Linked DNA regions of Notamacropus eugenii. The protein of the gene in region 1 purifies or fractionates together with the protein of each later gene. This does not show direct contact. Links are inferred from orthologs where the notes say so. Each region holds a gene or a part of one and is shown in the gene's direction. Other genes may lie near its edges.

Region 1 (7,686 bases):
TTTTATTTGTTTTCAATGTCCTACAATCACTTCCATATAACTTAGATTTTTTCCTCTCTCCCCCTCCCTCCCTAAGATGGCATATAATTTTATATAGGTTTTACACATACATTCCTATTAAAATACATTTTCACCTTAGTCATGTTGCATAGAAGAATTAAAATGAATGGGAGAAAGCATATAACAAAACAAAACATAATACAAAAAAAAATGATCTGCTTCATTCTGCAATCAAATTTCATAATTCTTTCTCTGGTTGAGGAAGGCATTTTGCCTCAAGAGTCAATTGGGAATTTTTTAAGTCCTTGCATTGCCATGAAGTACTAAGTCTACCAGAAAAATTCCTTGCACAGTGTGGTTGTTGCTATGTACTAAGTTCTCCTGGTTCTGCTCCTTTCACTCAGCATCAGTTCATATAAGTCTTTCCAGGCTGCACTTTTGATGAAGTTAACCACTGCCTTCTTAGAAACAGATGAACTATCTTGCTGGTAAACCCTGTGGAGTTCTTGTTTTTCATTTAGCAGTTTCTGAATTTCCTCATCATTTTCATCAAACCAATCTTGATCTTTGTGAGTGTTTTGGCCCAGATGAGTAAACGCAGTGCTGTACACCAAATCTCTGAAAGCTGCCCAGTCCTGTATGAAGACCTGGAGCCCTTCGTCATCAATACTATAGCCAACTGTGTGTTGGTTCAATTTTCTCTCCAAGTTAGCAATAAACTCTTTATGCCTGGAGAAGTACTTTAGCCCATTGACATTAAGTCTTCAGGTAGTTTTCTTGCCTTGGGGCCACCACTTTTGTTGAATGTGAATGTTTAGCTTGAAAAGGAAGTCTATGATCAGTCCAGCACTCTGCACCACACATTGTCCTCATCTCTCTCACACCCTGTCTCTTGTCTTTACAATGATATAATCTATTAAATGCAAATGTTAGCGGTGAGGGGTGTACCCTCATTTAGGTAAACATTGCATTTAGCTAAACAGAAGACAATGTTTGTGATGGGAACGTCATGAGATGCACAAGTCTTCAGTAGTAAATGACTGTTGCAATTTCCGATTCCATTCCTCCCAAGGATTTCCTGCCATATCTGATAGTCTGAGTCTACTCCTGCATTGAAGTCATCCAGAATTATAAGCTTATAAGCTTGTCCTCTTTCAGTATATTGATGATGAGGGTCTCCAGGTCTTCATAAAAATTTTTCCTTGACCTCATCAGGGATCATCAAGGTGGGAGCACAGGCACTGATGATGGTTGCATGGTGTTTTCCTCCAAGTGGCAATCACATTATCTTGAACTAGCTGTTCATTCCTTTTGGGAGGCATACAAGCTTGTTCACTAGATTAATTTTGGTTGTGAAACCTACACCAGCTTCACAATGCTCCCTTTCATTGAGGCCACTCTAGAGAAACATGTAGCTGGCTCTGACTTGAGTGAGCTGGACTTCATTTGGCAGCCTTGTTTCACTCAGGGCTGCTATTTGGATAGGATGTCTGCTGAGATCCCTTCCAAGAGCTGTTCATCTTTCAAGTCTAGAGGATTTCATGTTGTTTATAAGTGTGCACACATTCCATGTAACAACGGTGAGTGGAATCATCTTCACAAAAGATTTGGTACATTTTTTTTGGTGTTTTGACTACAGGGTGGGATTCCTACTTGCCTTGGTAAGCAGGCCAGAGTTGGGGCTTATACCCCAAGCAAGCAATCAATAAGAAAAAAGTGCCCATACACTCCAAAATATTTATAGCAGCTCTTTTTGTAATAGCTAAGAATTGGAAACAAAGATGCCCATCAGTTCAGGAATGGGTAAACAAAGTGTGATATGTAAACAGAGTGGAATATCAATGTGCTGTAAAAAATGAAGTATGGGATAAATACTGAGAAGCCTGGAAAGAGTTACATGAACTGAGGAGAAATGAAGTCAGCGGAGCCAAGAAAACCATCTATACAGTAACTAAAACAAGGTAAGTGAAGAGAACAGTGGCACACCACAAAGTCAAAAGTAGACGTAACATGAGTGTAAAGTTCAAGCAGCATTAGAGGAAAAGCTAGAAGACACTCCTGACCTAACCTTCTGCAGAGGAGGAGACACACAGCTGGCACACACTGCCCACAGTTTGGGACTTTTTCAGTGCATCCATCAGTTGTACTGGGCTTTTTTCCCTTTCTAAAAATACTGTTTGTTCTAAGGAATGGCTGACTGTGCACAGAACATCGCTCATAACCTTGGACTCTATCTGGAGCACTGTCATCCCAGAGGCCAGCACTGAGTTGAGTGGCCATTCTGCTGTAGTCTCTCCTCACAGGGACTAAGATCTAGGGTTGGAAAGGACCACAGATACCATTTAGTCCAATGCTCCAATTGACAGAAGAGAAATCAAAAGCCTGAAGAGGAGAAGATCCTTGCTCAAAGTCACAGAATTTTGCAAATCTAGACTGAAAGGCAGGTGGAAAACTCTGAGGTCCCTCACTGAGGAGAATGCCCATTCCTGACTCCACTCTCCCAAATGAATCGAGAAATCCCAGAACCTCAGAGCTGAAGAAAGGCCTCTGTGACCAGCCCATGTGTTTCAAAGTGATGTTGGTTGATGATTGGTTGTCCTCAGTGAGGTCACAGAGTTCAATCAAAGATATATGAAACCATCCTTCCCCACTATTATGAATGAAAAGACATGAGAGATTGAATTTTTGGATAATTAATAGTCAATTTATTAATTAGACTAGCTAATAATCAATAAATTGATGACCAGTGGTTTCTCTTGGCAATTAAAAAAATATGGAGAGCCTGAAAGCTTTAAATAATCCCCGAAAGGGAATTCCCTTGACAACTGAAAAATCAACCCTTACTGGTGGATGTTTCATGAGGAGGTAGGCTAGAAGTCTTCAGTGCTTCCTGCTGAGAAGTGTCTGGATCACGAGCCTTAGCCACCTCCAGCACTCTGGACAGGGGAATCCAACTCCATCCAGACCACGCTTTTCTCCTTCATTCGCTGGCTACCCTAAACTCTAATGGAGTACCAGGAGAGGGGCACATTTCCTCTGGGGTAAGGGCTCACCTAGACTGGATTCTGTTTATTCTCCAGACACAAGCACGCATCCAAGATTGAAGTGCACATACCTCAATAGCTAGAACAATCTCATCAATCAGCCATGTCCTTTAGAGACAGACTTTTTACAGGATCTGGGCCCCAGTGAAACAGCAACACAGATGAAGAAGCCTGGATCTTTGTTTGAGAATTGCTTACTAATATAACAGAAAAATGATTTCTCTCACCATTCGTATCCCTTTCTTGGCCTCGAGCAAACGCCTGCCTCTGAGGACATTTCCCAACCTTGTCAACATTACAGCTCTGTCCAGAATGGGTTGGACCCCTTGGGTAGTGGGGCTTAGGACTGGATTCAGCTTCTGGTCCAGGCCCGCCTGTCCCGGGGCAAGGAGCTCTGCAGTTAGGAGGCTGAGAAGAGGCCGGCCAGCATGTTCTGAGCTTGCCTTCCCACCAGCTGAATCATCCCCAGGCGCCTTTCCGGGCGGTCGGGGTTCTCTCATTCTGTTTTCCTTCTTCTTTCCTGTCTCTGTCTCTCTTGATTGGAGGCCAGGAGCACCAAGCAGTGCAGACTCTAGGTAGAACAGGGTGAAGAGAGTCCCCGGGGAGACAGGGCCGGGGCACTGGGAGGAGCCTGGGGTCCAGGTCCGGACAGCAGGGCTCAGGGTACCCACGAGGGCGGAGTTGTCCAAGAACGCCTTTGGAGCCGGGGAGCCGCCGTCAGCACCACGGCCAGCGCCTCCTCCCAGGCCGGCCCCACCAGGCTCGCCCTGGCAAGGGAGGGTGATCTGGGCGCCCGGGCCTGCCTCTCAAAGGCCCCGCTTCGCTCCTGCAAAGGAGGCCTGGGGGGGCGAGCCCCGGAGTCCGGCTGGGGCCCAGGGGGGCCTTTGGGCCGCGGGCCTCCAGAGCAGCGCCCCTGCGGGCATCGGGGCAGTGCCCGGGAGGAGACTGCGTTGGGGGAGGCCGCCGCCCGCTGCCCGCCCCCCGCCCGCGGCACCCAGGGAAGGCCGGCGGCTCTCCTGGGTGTTACGGCTGCGGGGACGCTCCCTTCCCAATCTGATCGGTCGGTGCCCATGGGGGCGGCAGCGCTGTGGGGACTCGAACTCGGGATCTTCCCCCTGATTGCCCCTCCCCCCCGCAAGCCCCGCCACTTCCGGGTCCCTGGCTGGCTGGACCCCGGAGCGGGGAGGAAGCCGTGAAAAGGGAAGGGACCCCCCCCCCCCCCCACCCCGGTCGCTGTAGACCACGCCCACACCCGGCGCACAGGCGCAGACATGGCTCCGGCCCCCGCCGCGCGCAGGCGCAGCTGGGCCCCACCATCAGCGCGCAGGCGCCCTGGCGCCGTGCCCCGGAAGCAGTGTGGCTGAGCCGGCCCCGGGAAAGCACGTGGGTCATTTGGCCCAGCGGCTCAACATGGTGGGGACTCGGAGCCTGCGGAGAACGCGGGGATCGCGGGCGGCGGCGGCGGAGCAGGCGGCGGAGCAGGCGGCGGCGGAGCTGAAGCTGGAGCCCGCGGAGGCGGCGGCGGCCGAAGACGAGCGGGGGGCCGCCGGGGCGGAGGAGCGAGCCCCCTCCCCCGCCGCTGCCCCTGCGCCGCCGACGCCTTTGCTGCAGCAGAGCCGGGACTTCCTGGACCTGTTCTGGGGCATCGCCAAGCCGGCCCAGGACGAGCGGCTGGCGGCCACGGCGGCGCTGGTGGAGCGGCTGCGGACGCGGCCCCAGGTGCGGCCGGGCCGGGGGCCGGGGGGCCTGGGATCGGGGCTCCGGGGATCGGGGATCGGGGAGCCGAGAGTCGGGGGTCAGGGCGCCGGGGGCCGGGCCTCATTCTCCCCTCCTCCCCCCTCCGCCCCGCAGGGGGCCGAGCTCCAGTACGCCCTGAAGCGGCTCATCGAGGGCCTGGGCGCCACGCGGGAGGCGGCGAGGCCGGGCTTCAGCCTGGCCCTGAGCCAGGTGAGGGGGGCCCTGGGGGAGGGGCCCTGGGGGAGGGGCTGCTGGGGGGGACCGGGGCGGGGGGCCCTGGGGGAGGGGCTGCTGGGGGGGGCTCCGCCTAGCGCGCGCTCTGGCAGGTGTTGCAGGCCCTGGAGGACGTCCCCTTGCGCAGCGTCTGGGAGCAGATCCGCGAGAAGCACGACCTGGAGAGGAAGGTGAGCCCCCCCCATCCGGGTCCCTGGAGCCCCCCCCCCCCATCCGGGTCCCTGGAGCCCCCCCCCATCCCGGTCCCTGGAGCCCCCCCCCATCCCGGTCCCTGGAGCCCCCCCCATCCCGGTCCCTGGAGCCCCCCCCCCATCCCGGTCCCTGGAGCCCCCCCCATCCCGGTCCCTGGAGCCCCCCCCCCATCCCGGTCCCTGGAGCCCCCCCCCCCATCCCGGTCCCTGGAGCCCCCCCCCATCGGGATCCCTGGAGCCCCCCCCCCGTCCGGGTCCCTGGAGCCCCCCCCATCGGGGTCCCTGGAGCCCCCCCCCCCATCCGGGTCCCTGGAGCCCCCCCCCCCCATCCGGGTCCCTGGAGCCCCCCCCCCATCCGGGTCCCTGGAGCCCCCCCCCCCCATCCGGCTCCCTGGAGCCCCCCCCCATCGGGGTCCCTGGAGCCCCCCCCCTGTCCCGGTCCCTGGAGCCCCCCCCCATCCGGGTCCCTGGAGCTCCCCCCCCCTGTCCGGGTCCCTGGAGCCCCCCCCCATCCGGGTCCCTGGAGCCCCCCCCCCCTGTCCGGGTCCCTGGAGCCCCCCCCCATCCGGGTCCCTGGAGCCCCCCCCATCCCGGTCCCTGGAGCCCTCCCCCCCCCCCCCCCCATCCGGGTCCCTGGAGCCCCCCGGGCGCCTAGGACTCGGGCTCACAGCCTCCCTGTCCTGCAGAAGCGCCTGCGGAACGCCGCCTTCGGGACCGTGTTCGGGGTCCTGGCCTTGTTCCAGTCCGGCCGCCTGGCGAAGGTGAGCGGGGCAGGGGCCCTGGGGGGCTGAGGGGCCGCACCCGTCCTTGCCCGCTGCCCACCTCCACCTCTGCCCTTTCCCTGCGCAGGACCATGAGGTCCTGGTGGAGGCCGTCCAGCTCCTGCGGAGCCTGGCCCGGTACCGGAACCACCTTCAGGACCTGCCTCATCGCACGCTGGTGGACATCCTCCGGGAGGTGAGGCCGGACAAGAGCAGCTGAAGGGCCCGGCTTTACGGAGAGGGAACCTGAGGCAGCTGGCCGCTCCCGGCGCCCCCTGCAGCCTTGCCTCTCCCCCTCAGGTCTCGGAGCCCGTGTTTAAGGCGGCCCTGTTGAGCGTCCTGCAGGCCGACTTCTCCTCGGCCCTCAGCAGCCCTGACCAGCTCCAGCTCCTCCTGGTGGGACTGCAGAGGTTCCCAGGTGTCCTGCAGCCCAAGAAGCTGAAGAAGCTGCTGGGCTCTGCAGCGGTAGTCACCGAGGAGACCGTGCCCAGGTGTGGCTGAGTGGGGGGAGCCTGGGCCAGCCTGGCAGGGAGACAGATGGCCAGGGGCAGCTCCTGGGTCAGGCCTGCCGGGTGTGAGAGAGCTTGCCTCTCGTGGGCGTCCGAGGCTCTGAGCCTCTGGGTTTGTCGGGCACTTCCCCATGCAGGTCGCTGCCCTGACAGCTCGGGCAGCCCCTTCTCCCCTTCTTGGGCCCTCCGTTTCCAGATCCATCCAGTGGCTCAGACTAGAGTCAGGACTCCTCCCTTGGGGTCCCAGGACGTATTTATACTTTCTTTTTGTTTGCAAACTTCTCTAGGTTGGTGGAAGTTTTAAACGCTGCAGCTAAGACTGTGAAGAAGGAGAAGGTACTGCCCCCTGTGGCACTGGATCTGATGCGCATCGCTCTCCAGGAGGGCACCTTTGAGCTCTTTTGGAAGGGTGTGGTGGAGGATGGGCTTCTTCAGGAGCATTCTGGGCCCAGCAGGTGTGTGTCTGGCAGGCTTCCCACCCCCCTTGTCCTCAGACACCTGAGCCAGACCTGGCCAGGCCCCTCACATGGCGTCTCTCTAGCCTCAACTTGTCCCGGGGGGGGGGGGGGGGGGGGGGGGTGCGGTCCCATAAGTCATCAGGTCAGGCGAGCTTCACTGGAATCGAAGGACATTGGGGGCATGGTGGTGGGGAACAGACCCTCTGAGGAGGAAGAAGAGGCTTTGACGCCCTCGTCCCTCCCCAGTTACACGGCCTTCCGCCTGCTGGGCAGTGCCCTGCCCTTGCTATCATTGGAGCAGCTCCACATGGTCCTCCACGGAGAAGTGATGCTTCGATATGGTGACCACGTGCTCTCAGCCCAGGTAGACGCTGATGCGTATGGGGTGGGGGGAGTGGAGGGTGCAGAGCCAGCTTCTAGCCTGGCCTGGGAAGCCAAGGCCAGGGAGGGGCACAGACCTGAGCTGGAACACTCCCTCCCTGATTGTCCTCGTCCTCCAGCTCCCTTCAAGGTTCAAGTTTGCCCCAGAGATGGAGAAGTACGTGGGTTCCTTCCTGGAGGGCTGTACAGACCCTGAGAAGCAGCTGGCGGTGCTGGTGGCCTTCTCCTCCCTCACCAACCAGGGTTACCCGGTGGTGCCCAGCCTGTGGTCAGTGGTGAGGCACCTGCGGCCTGAGGTGTTGCACCGCTACAGCAGCTGGCTACAAGACATGTTCCTACGGCCTGATCTTAGCTGCTGCCTCGACTTCAGT
Region 2 (7,493 bases), about 330 Mb from region 1:
ATGCATATAACTTTCATGCTATAATCAGACTAAGAATTTGTGGAGAAAACCTAGCTAAAGTTAACCTAGTTAAATTCAAACGTCATCTCCATCAAACTCTTCTGGATTCCCTGCTGGTAATGACCAAATCGAGTGTCTGCTTTCCACCTCTCTAATGTACTTGCTGTGTAATATTATTATGATGATGTTATCTGTGTTTTATCTCCTTACTACAACACAAACTCCAAGAGGTTAAGAATTATGTCTTATCCAATGTTATATATTTCCCAGTACCTAATTAACAAATATTAACAAATCTCTACTGATTGGGCCAGAAGGAACCTTTTAGGTAATGGTGGGAAAAGTGTTTCAGAAAATATAGCCTAAAACCAGAAAAACAGGAAATTGAAGAAGGAGTAAAACTAAATCTGCAGAGATTAAACATGTTTAGCTCTAGCCTTTAAAATGTGGGCTAAACTAGTAGAGGAAACAATGTGGAATAGAAAGTAGAATAAGGAAAAATTTTGGTTCAAATTTCTCTTTTGACATTTAAGCATTGTGCAACAATGCAAAAGTTATCACAGTTATCACCTAAGACTCAATTTTCTTATCTATATAATTGTGATAACATCTGTAGTGCCTACTTCACAGGGTTATGGTGAGGATTGAGTGAGATCATGAAATAATCTTTGTAAACCTTAGAGTAACTATTACAGGGTGGTTTGTCTTTTTGTAAGCCTGAAAGTCAACTATGGACAGTATTCGTACTTTCTAGTTCTATGTAGTGTCTTGGAGTGGGTAGTGGAGAGCTATTCACAGGCATGGAAGAAATCACTGATGATTCATGTGGCCTCAGCAAATCTCAATAGGGCTGGATACTATTCAAAGTAAGCACACAAACTGGCTAAGTCACGCCTTCATTAGCACTTATATGTACACAGTATTAGCTTTCAGTTACTCCTATGCTGCTTTGTAATTACCTTCCATATATTGTACATATATGGTTTTTTCCACTGTGAATTACTTGAAGGATTTTTATATTTGTACGCTACCAGCAGTGATATAGTACGTAAGCCATGGAGTCCTATGGGACTTGCTTTCAACACTCTTCTGTGACACAGTATGTTGTGTCTTGTCCTTCACTGTATCTCTGGAATTGCGTCTTCCTTTGGAGTTAAGGTGTTCACCTATTCTATTCTGATTAAACAGTGCTTGATTCCGATGTTGCAAGGGTCAAGCCTTAACTAGTTATGTCGCAGTGCTTGACCTCCATGGATGCTATGAACAGTTTCCTATTATAATTTTGACTTTTTTTGCTGACTCATCTTGCTTACAATTTAATATAAAGGACATGAAGCATCAGTCACCTTCTGTGTAACTAGTCAGAGCTGTCAGGACCAAAGCATGCCTGGCACCATCCCGCTTGTTTGCTGTTTCCATGACCTTTATGCCACTAAACACCGCACTCTGGGAATCCTGGAAACTGGGACTAACAGTGTGGCTGATCTGCATTTGCATGACACCGTACCGGGTCTATCAAACAACTTGATTTGACCTCTTTGTAGTAAGCATAAGATGTATCTTCCTTTACTCAACTCCAAAATCTCAGAAGTATCAGCCTATAATATATTATCAAAGAATTATGTATATAGTAGGCATGCAAAATATTCAAAATTCCTGCTACTAGTGCAATTCACATCTGAAGAAAATTACTTGCATAGTACTTTCCCCCCAGGCAGTTGATGGCACAGCGGATAGAGCACTGGGCCTCGAGTCTGGACTACCTGAATTCAAATCCAGCTTCAGCTACTTATTAGCTGTGTGACTCTGAGAGAGTCCCTTAACCTGTTTGCCTCAGTTTCCTCAATTGCAAAATGAGGATAATAGTAGTACCTACCTCACAGGATTGTTGCGAGGATCAAATGAAATAATATTTGCAAAAAGTGCCTAGCACAATGTCTGGCACGTAGTAGGCACAGTATAAATGTTTATTCCCTTCTCAATTTGTAAAATGAACACAAACTACCTTCATGTTTACTGTATGCACATTTTACTATTCTCTCAGTAAAATGTCTATCTGTTACCTCTTCTAATCATTTCTAGAGTCATAACTTTTCAGATAAAAGGTCTAAGTAGAAAACAAGTTGTTATCACAGGTTTTGTCTCATCTAAAATATGAATATTATTCAGACATTTTAATCTTCATAACCTGGAGAACCTAGCATTTATAACAATTGCTTCATTTGGACTGCTTGTTTACTTCAGTTTATCCCCTTGAAATTTAAATTCCTACTCCCTCAGACACAGGAATTCCAAGTCATTATAGAATACAAGGAAAACAAATCCTCTCTGGAACAAAAAAATGGCACCTACCTTTGGCAAATATTCTCTTTTCAAATGAGAGAAAGAAACAAACTTTTATTTAGCACTTTTAAGTTCAAGGTTTTACAAATACCACACTTTTTCCACACAACAAATGTGGGTGCTAGGTGCTATTATTATCCTCATTTTACAGTTCAGGAAACTGAGGTAAACAGAGGTTAAATGATTTGCCCAAGGTCACATAGCTAGTAAACGTCTGAGGCTGCATTTGAACTCAGGTTTTTCCGACTTCAGGTCCACCTGTCTTCCTGTTCCACCTATCTGCCTCTCTGAAGAAAACATAATCATGTTATCCTTTTTCAAATATGAACTTGGTAATGCAAACTTCCTTATGTTAAGGAAAGGATTTTTACTATTGCTGAAATTCTCTTGTATATTCAAAAAGAAAAAGCTTTGTTGTTTCTGATCCCGGAAAATCATCATTAATTCTTAATAGGAAAAAAAGAAACCTTTAAGAAAAAAATCATCTGTCTACAGAAACTACCAATTCATAATAAATCAAACACCTCTCACTGTACAAATTCAGGTACCTGAGAGTGAAAACAAAAGAAATTCTTTTGATTAGAGCTTGATGCCATCATTATACACAATTATAAGGAATTTCATACTTTTCACTTCCATAGCACTTATTTATAAGGAAAAACTTACTGGCAGAGGAATCACCAATTCACGCTCTTCCACCAATTAAGCGATTTTCAGAGAACGTTAGAATGGGAAAAAATCTCGGAGAGAATCTAGTCCAACGCCCTCATTTTACTGGAGGAGGAATCTGAGGAGCAAAGCCACGAGGTGACTTACCTAGAGTCCCATAACTAGTTACTGACAGGGCAGGGACAAAACCTATTTCCTGACTTCCTGTCAGTCACGCGTTCTTCCCCGTACCCCAATAATTCAGTCCTGTGGCTCCCTACTGTGGCCAGGAGGGGATATGACTCCTTTGGCATTTAAAGACTGTCACAAACTGGCCCGTGCCTATCTTCAGTCTTACCTCCCCTTCCACAGACACTGTGGTCCTGCCAAAACGACTTTCTTCTGGTTCCTGAGACTAGGCGTATTCCAGCCACCTACCTCGAAGCCTCTTGGTACGGCCCTTCTACGTGTCCAGGATGTTCCCTCCTCCCCCAACTCAGGCTTTCTGAATCCCTAGTATTTGCATATTTGTTACAAGATTTCTCCCCTCCCCCCACCATGGGAGAGGAATAAAGTGGGAAACAGAGTACTTTTATTAATAGAAAAAAAAGAAATTTAATTTAAAAGCCAGCCGGGATCTTTGGCTTCTTTCAGCGCTCAGCTCTGCCCCCGTCACCTCGTCTGTTTCGTACACATCTCCAAGCGTCCTGTCGTCGTCCGCCCCAACCCCCAGCGTCTCCGAGCGCAGGCCCGTTTTGCTCTTTGTATCCCTAGCGCCCAGCAGTGCCCGGCCTCACAGCAGAAGCTTAACAAACGCTGGGTTATTGATCGGGTAACACCCCGAGGATCACGTGGCACAACTGGGCATCCCCTCGCACGCAGGAAGGCTTTCCGAATTACGAGCTAATCTGAAGGCCCCGGGTTCAAATCTATGACCTTGGACAAGTCACCTAACCTCTCTGGGCCTCAGTTTCCTCATCTTTAAAACTTCGAAGGTGGCCTAGGTCACCCATTCCTACTCTTCCTCCCCTCCCTCAGGCCCGCCCACCTAGTCCGGGGCGGTGCCAGCCGCGAGCTCCTACGGTGGCCGTGAAGGACCCCTCCAGAACCGCAGCGGCGGCCCAGCCTCCCTCCCAGCTCTGGGCGAGCCCAGAAGACCCGGACGAGGGTGCAGAGATCAGAAAGGCGGTGTGCGAGGCCGTGTCTTTCCCGGTCCCGGTCAGCGACCGCCCGAAGAGCTTCCTTACCCCTCCTAGCGGGCGCGTGCCCTCCTCCTTCTCGGGCTCCTTCCGCTCCCGCCGCTCAGCGGAGCACCTAGGGCTCCGCCGGCGGCCGCTGGGCCCCGCGGTTTGACAGCGCCCTGTATCTCAGAGCACTTCCGGTAACGTCACTTCCGTGCGGAGAAGATGGGGCCGGAGGCGGGGCGGAGGAAGAAGGGAAAAGCGCAGGTTGCAGTGCACGCATGCGCGCATCTTCCTGCGTGCGTTCCCCGCCACCAACTCGGAATCGGGGAATCCCAGATAGTCGGCGTGGACTGGAGGCGGGAGGCGGACTTGCGGGACGCGCCGCCCCGGGAGAGCCCACGTGCTGGGCGCGGGCGGTTGAAACGGTTCTCTGGCGCGCGGCGGGGGTGAGTGGTGGTGCGGTGGGGCGGGCTGAGGCCGCGGAGGCCGGGGCCGCAGCCGGGGGAAGGGGCTGACTGGCGGCGGTTCCCCGGCTCGGCTCGGAGCCCCGGCGTGGACCACGGCGACCCCGATCGGCCTGCGCCCGGGCTGCCGAGGGCCAGCCGAGCCGTCCGCCGCCCTCGAGGTACAGCGTGGGGGCGGGCGGGGGCCGCTGCCCAGGAAGACCCCGGGGTGGATGACTGGGGCGATGGACGGAGTCAGAGGACCTGGGTTCGAGTCTCCGCCGGGCCACGCTGCAGCCGGGCGGCCCCAGCAAGTCCTTGTTGGGTCGCTTTTAGTTAAGGACTGACTGGCCCTCCGGAGGCTGCTCCTGCGTGTGGCCCGAGCCTCGGGGCTACTTTGTTAGGAGTCGCGTAGCGTCCGTGCGATCGTGAGCTGTAGCCACAGTGTCAACGTTTATGCGGCCCCTACCTCGGGGCCAGGCTCTGCGCTAAGCGCCGTACCGTTACTGTCCCTTTTCGTCCTCACGGTGGGAGGCACGTGCCGATGTTATCCCCATTTCGCAGGTGAGGAACCCGAGGCAAACGGATTTGAACTCCAGTATTGTGGGCTCCAGGCCGGGCGCTCTATGCGCGGACACCCAGCTGTCCTGGCAAGATGCCCCCGCCCCTTTCGGGGGGGACCTAGTGACCAACGGTTCTGTTTAGCAAACCGTTCAGTTTTTGAGAGGTGTGTAGTCGAAAAGGTTACCAAGATAAAAAAAATTACGTCCTGTGCTCAAAGAGCTTACCAATCTGGGGGAGAATAGGATGTATACGCAAGCATAATGTAAGGTAGACTGTGATCAGAGCACAGGAGGAGTGCCAAGTAGCCTGAAATGAAATTGATCCAAGAAGACAGTGGCTTTTGGAGGGTAAGAGTGCATCTGTAAAAAGAGAGTGTTGGACTAGCTCCTGACCCTTTCTGTTGTATTATGCTGAATGTGTAAGTTAATTCCTTGAAGATTTTGACAGGAAGGTAGAGAAAGAGACTTGGGGCACTAGGCAACTAAAAGATGAGTGATGAGAGATTGCTGCCAAGAAGCGAAAAGGACATCGAGAGGAGGCCCTGAAAAACAACTGACTGTGTTTCAGTTTTGTCTCCAAATTACTCATGCATGCATGGTGTGTTGGGGGGAAAGGTTTGGATCTTTGATTTTGTAGGGATTCTGGATGCAACTAGTCTGTCATTTTATGTCTTAGAGAGTTGCCTGAGACACCAAGAGGTTAAGTGACTTGTTCTAAATTACAGAACTATTACGTGTCTGTGACAGGCTGTGAAATCTACCTTTTATAACTACTACACTGGACATTGCACCATAACTGCCTCTCCTACTTTATCTGTGTCCCTTTCATATAATAGGCACTTAATAAATATTAAATTAGATTGAATTTTGAGAATTCAGGAATGCCTCCTTAACATGATGAGACATTACCACAAGATTTTAGGAGAGGAGAGAGAAAAAGTGCTTTCCTTTAGGTCACACAACTTGTCAGTGACATAGCTGGAATTAGAACATCTCCAAATTCCCAACCTGTGCTTTTTGCACTAGGTCACACTACTCTATGGGATAAGTCCTTGTTTCACTTCTTTTCCTAAGTGTAGTGCTGCATAGTCAAGAGGCAGTGTGGTACAGTAGAGTGCCATCTTGAAGCTAGTGTCCTGCCTCTGATACTGGTTCCCTAACAAAGCTCCAAGCAGCTCTCCAAGACTGCATTACAGAGATGGTGCCTAAGTGCATTGGCAAAAGGAGTTTTCTCACCCAGGAGTTCCACAGGTTCAGTTCTCATGCTACAGTAGTGCAGTCATGGACTGAAATGGGAAACAAATGTTACACATAAAGTATGTCCCTCTCTTACAAGGATCCGCACTATTAATTTTGCCTTTCTTTGTATCCCCAGTGCTTTGTACAGGTTGTGGAAAATAGTAGGTGTTTGAAAAATATTTGTTGATTTGTACCACTGAGTATTTTTACTTTGTAGTTTAAGTAGAATTTCTTTAGAGTTAATACTTGGTTTTGCCCAGTCATAAACTGAGAAAAACAGGATGCTATTCTTTCCTGCATGTTTACTGTTTTACAGTGTGAAAGATACTTAGGGTTATTTTTATGGCTCATATTGGGCTTCTAAAGAAGAAGTAAGCTGATTACAAGCATTATCTTATTAATCCATATGAATAACAAGCAGGTGACAAATTGTTATCTCCACTAAGTGTGGAGCAAAAAGACAGCCTGTAATTTAACCAAAGTTCCAGAACATGTCTGAAATTGTTTTCTAAAACAGCAACTTCTAATTTAGGAATGGATTATTGTGCAAAAAACCTCAAAAAAAATTTTTTTTTTTTATAAAAAGGATGTTAGACATGGTGTTGAGGTTCCCTTAGGGCAGGGCACCAAAACCTTTATAAAATTCATAACAGAACTGAAGTTTAATATAGTATGTTGTAGTACTATTGAGTACTGTTGAGCCTAAATATCAAACATAACAATATTCTATAGAAAAATACAGTCAGCTTCTAACTTGGGATACCAGGAATGCGTTAAATTCTGGCAACAGAATTAAGAGAGTCACTTTCCCCGAACTCTCCCAGCTCTAAAAGTATTTGCATGGCCTGGGACTGAGATTCTAAAGTGGAAAGTGTGTAAACAACTGGAGAGGGAATTCTGGAGTGAAGAACAGAAATGGAGGTAGTGGCTGGAGGATATATTGAGGGACGGGACATTTCCCCTTCCTTTCCCATTAGCAGTGCTGAAAACCTTGGGCTGGGAGAGTGGCAGGAGGACAGGGCTTTTGAGACCATTGTGTCCTCTTCTCATTTTCTTCTCTAGTTCCCCCTTGA

What was found.
Region 2: the proteins of MYBBP1A (region 1) and LYAR purify together in Homo sapiens (affinity purification with mass spectrometry; 3 studies listed by BioGRID and IntAct, with this or other methods). This does not show direct contact. The link is inferred for Notamacropus eugenii from reciprocal best matches to the Homo sapiens genes MYBBP1A and LYAR.

What each region holds. Positions count from the first base shown.
Region 1 is NC_092877.1:388,002,014-388,009,699, reverse strand, and holds the start of MYBBP1A (myb-binding protein 1A), read left to right. Parts: upstream 1-4,428; 5' UTR 4,429-4,454; coding exon 4,455-4,763; intron 4,764-4,895; coding exon 4,896-4,991; intron 4,992-5,107; coding exon 5,108-5,185; intron 5,186-5,892; coding exon 5,893-5,967; intron 5,968-6,055; coding exon 6,056-6,163; intron 6,164-6,267; coding exon 6,268-6,458; intron 6,459-6,763; coding exon 6,764-6,931; intron 6,932-7,180; coding exon 7,181-7,298; intron 7,299-7,434; coding exon 7,435-7,686. UniProt on the Homo sapiens protein: May activate or repress transcription via interactions with sequence specific DNA-binding proteins. Repression may be mediated at least in part by histone deacetylase activity (HDAC activity).
Region 2 is NC_092877.1:62,021,363-62,028,855, forward strand, and holds the start of LYAR (cell growth-regulating nucleolar protein), read left to right. Parts: upstream 1-4,393; 5' UTR 4,394-4,621; exon of another isoform or gene 4,622-5,182; intron 5,183-7,493. UniProt on the Homo sapiens protein: Plays a role in the maintenance of the appropriate processing of 47S/45S pre-rRNA to 32S/30S pre-rRNAs and their subsequent processing to produce 18S and 28S rRNAs. Also acts at the level of transcription regulation.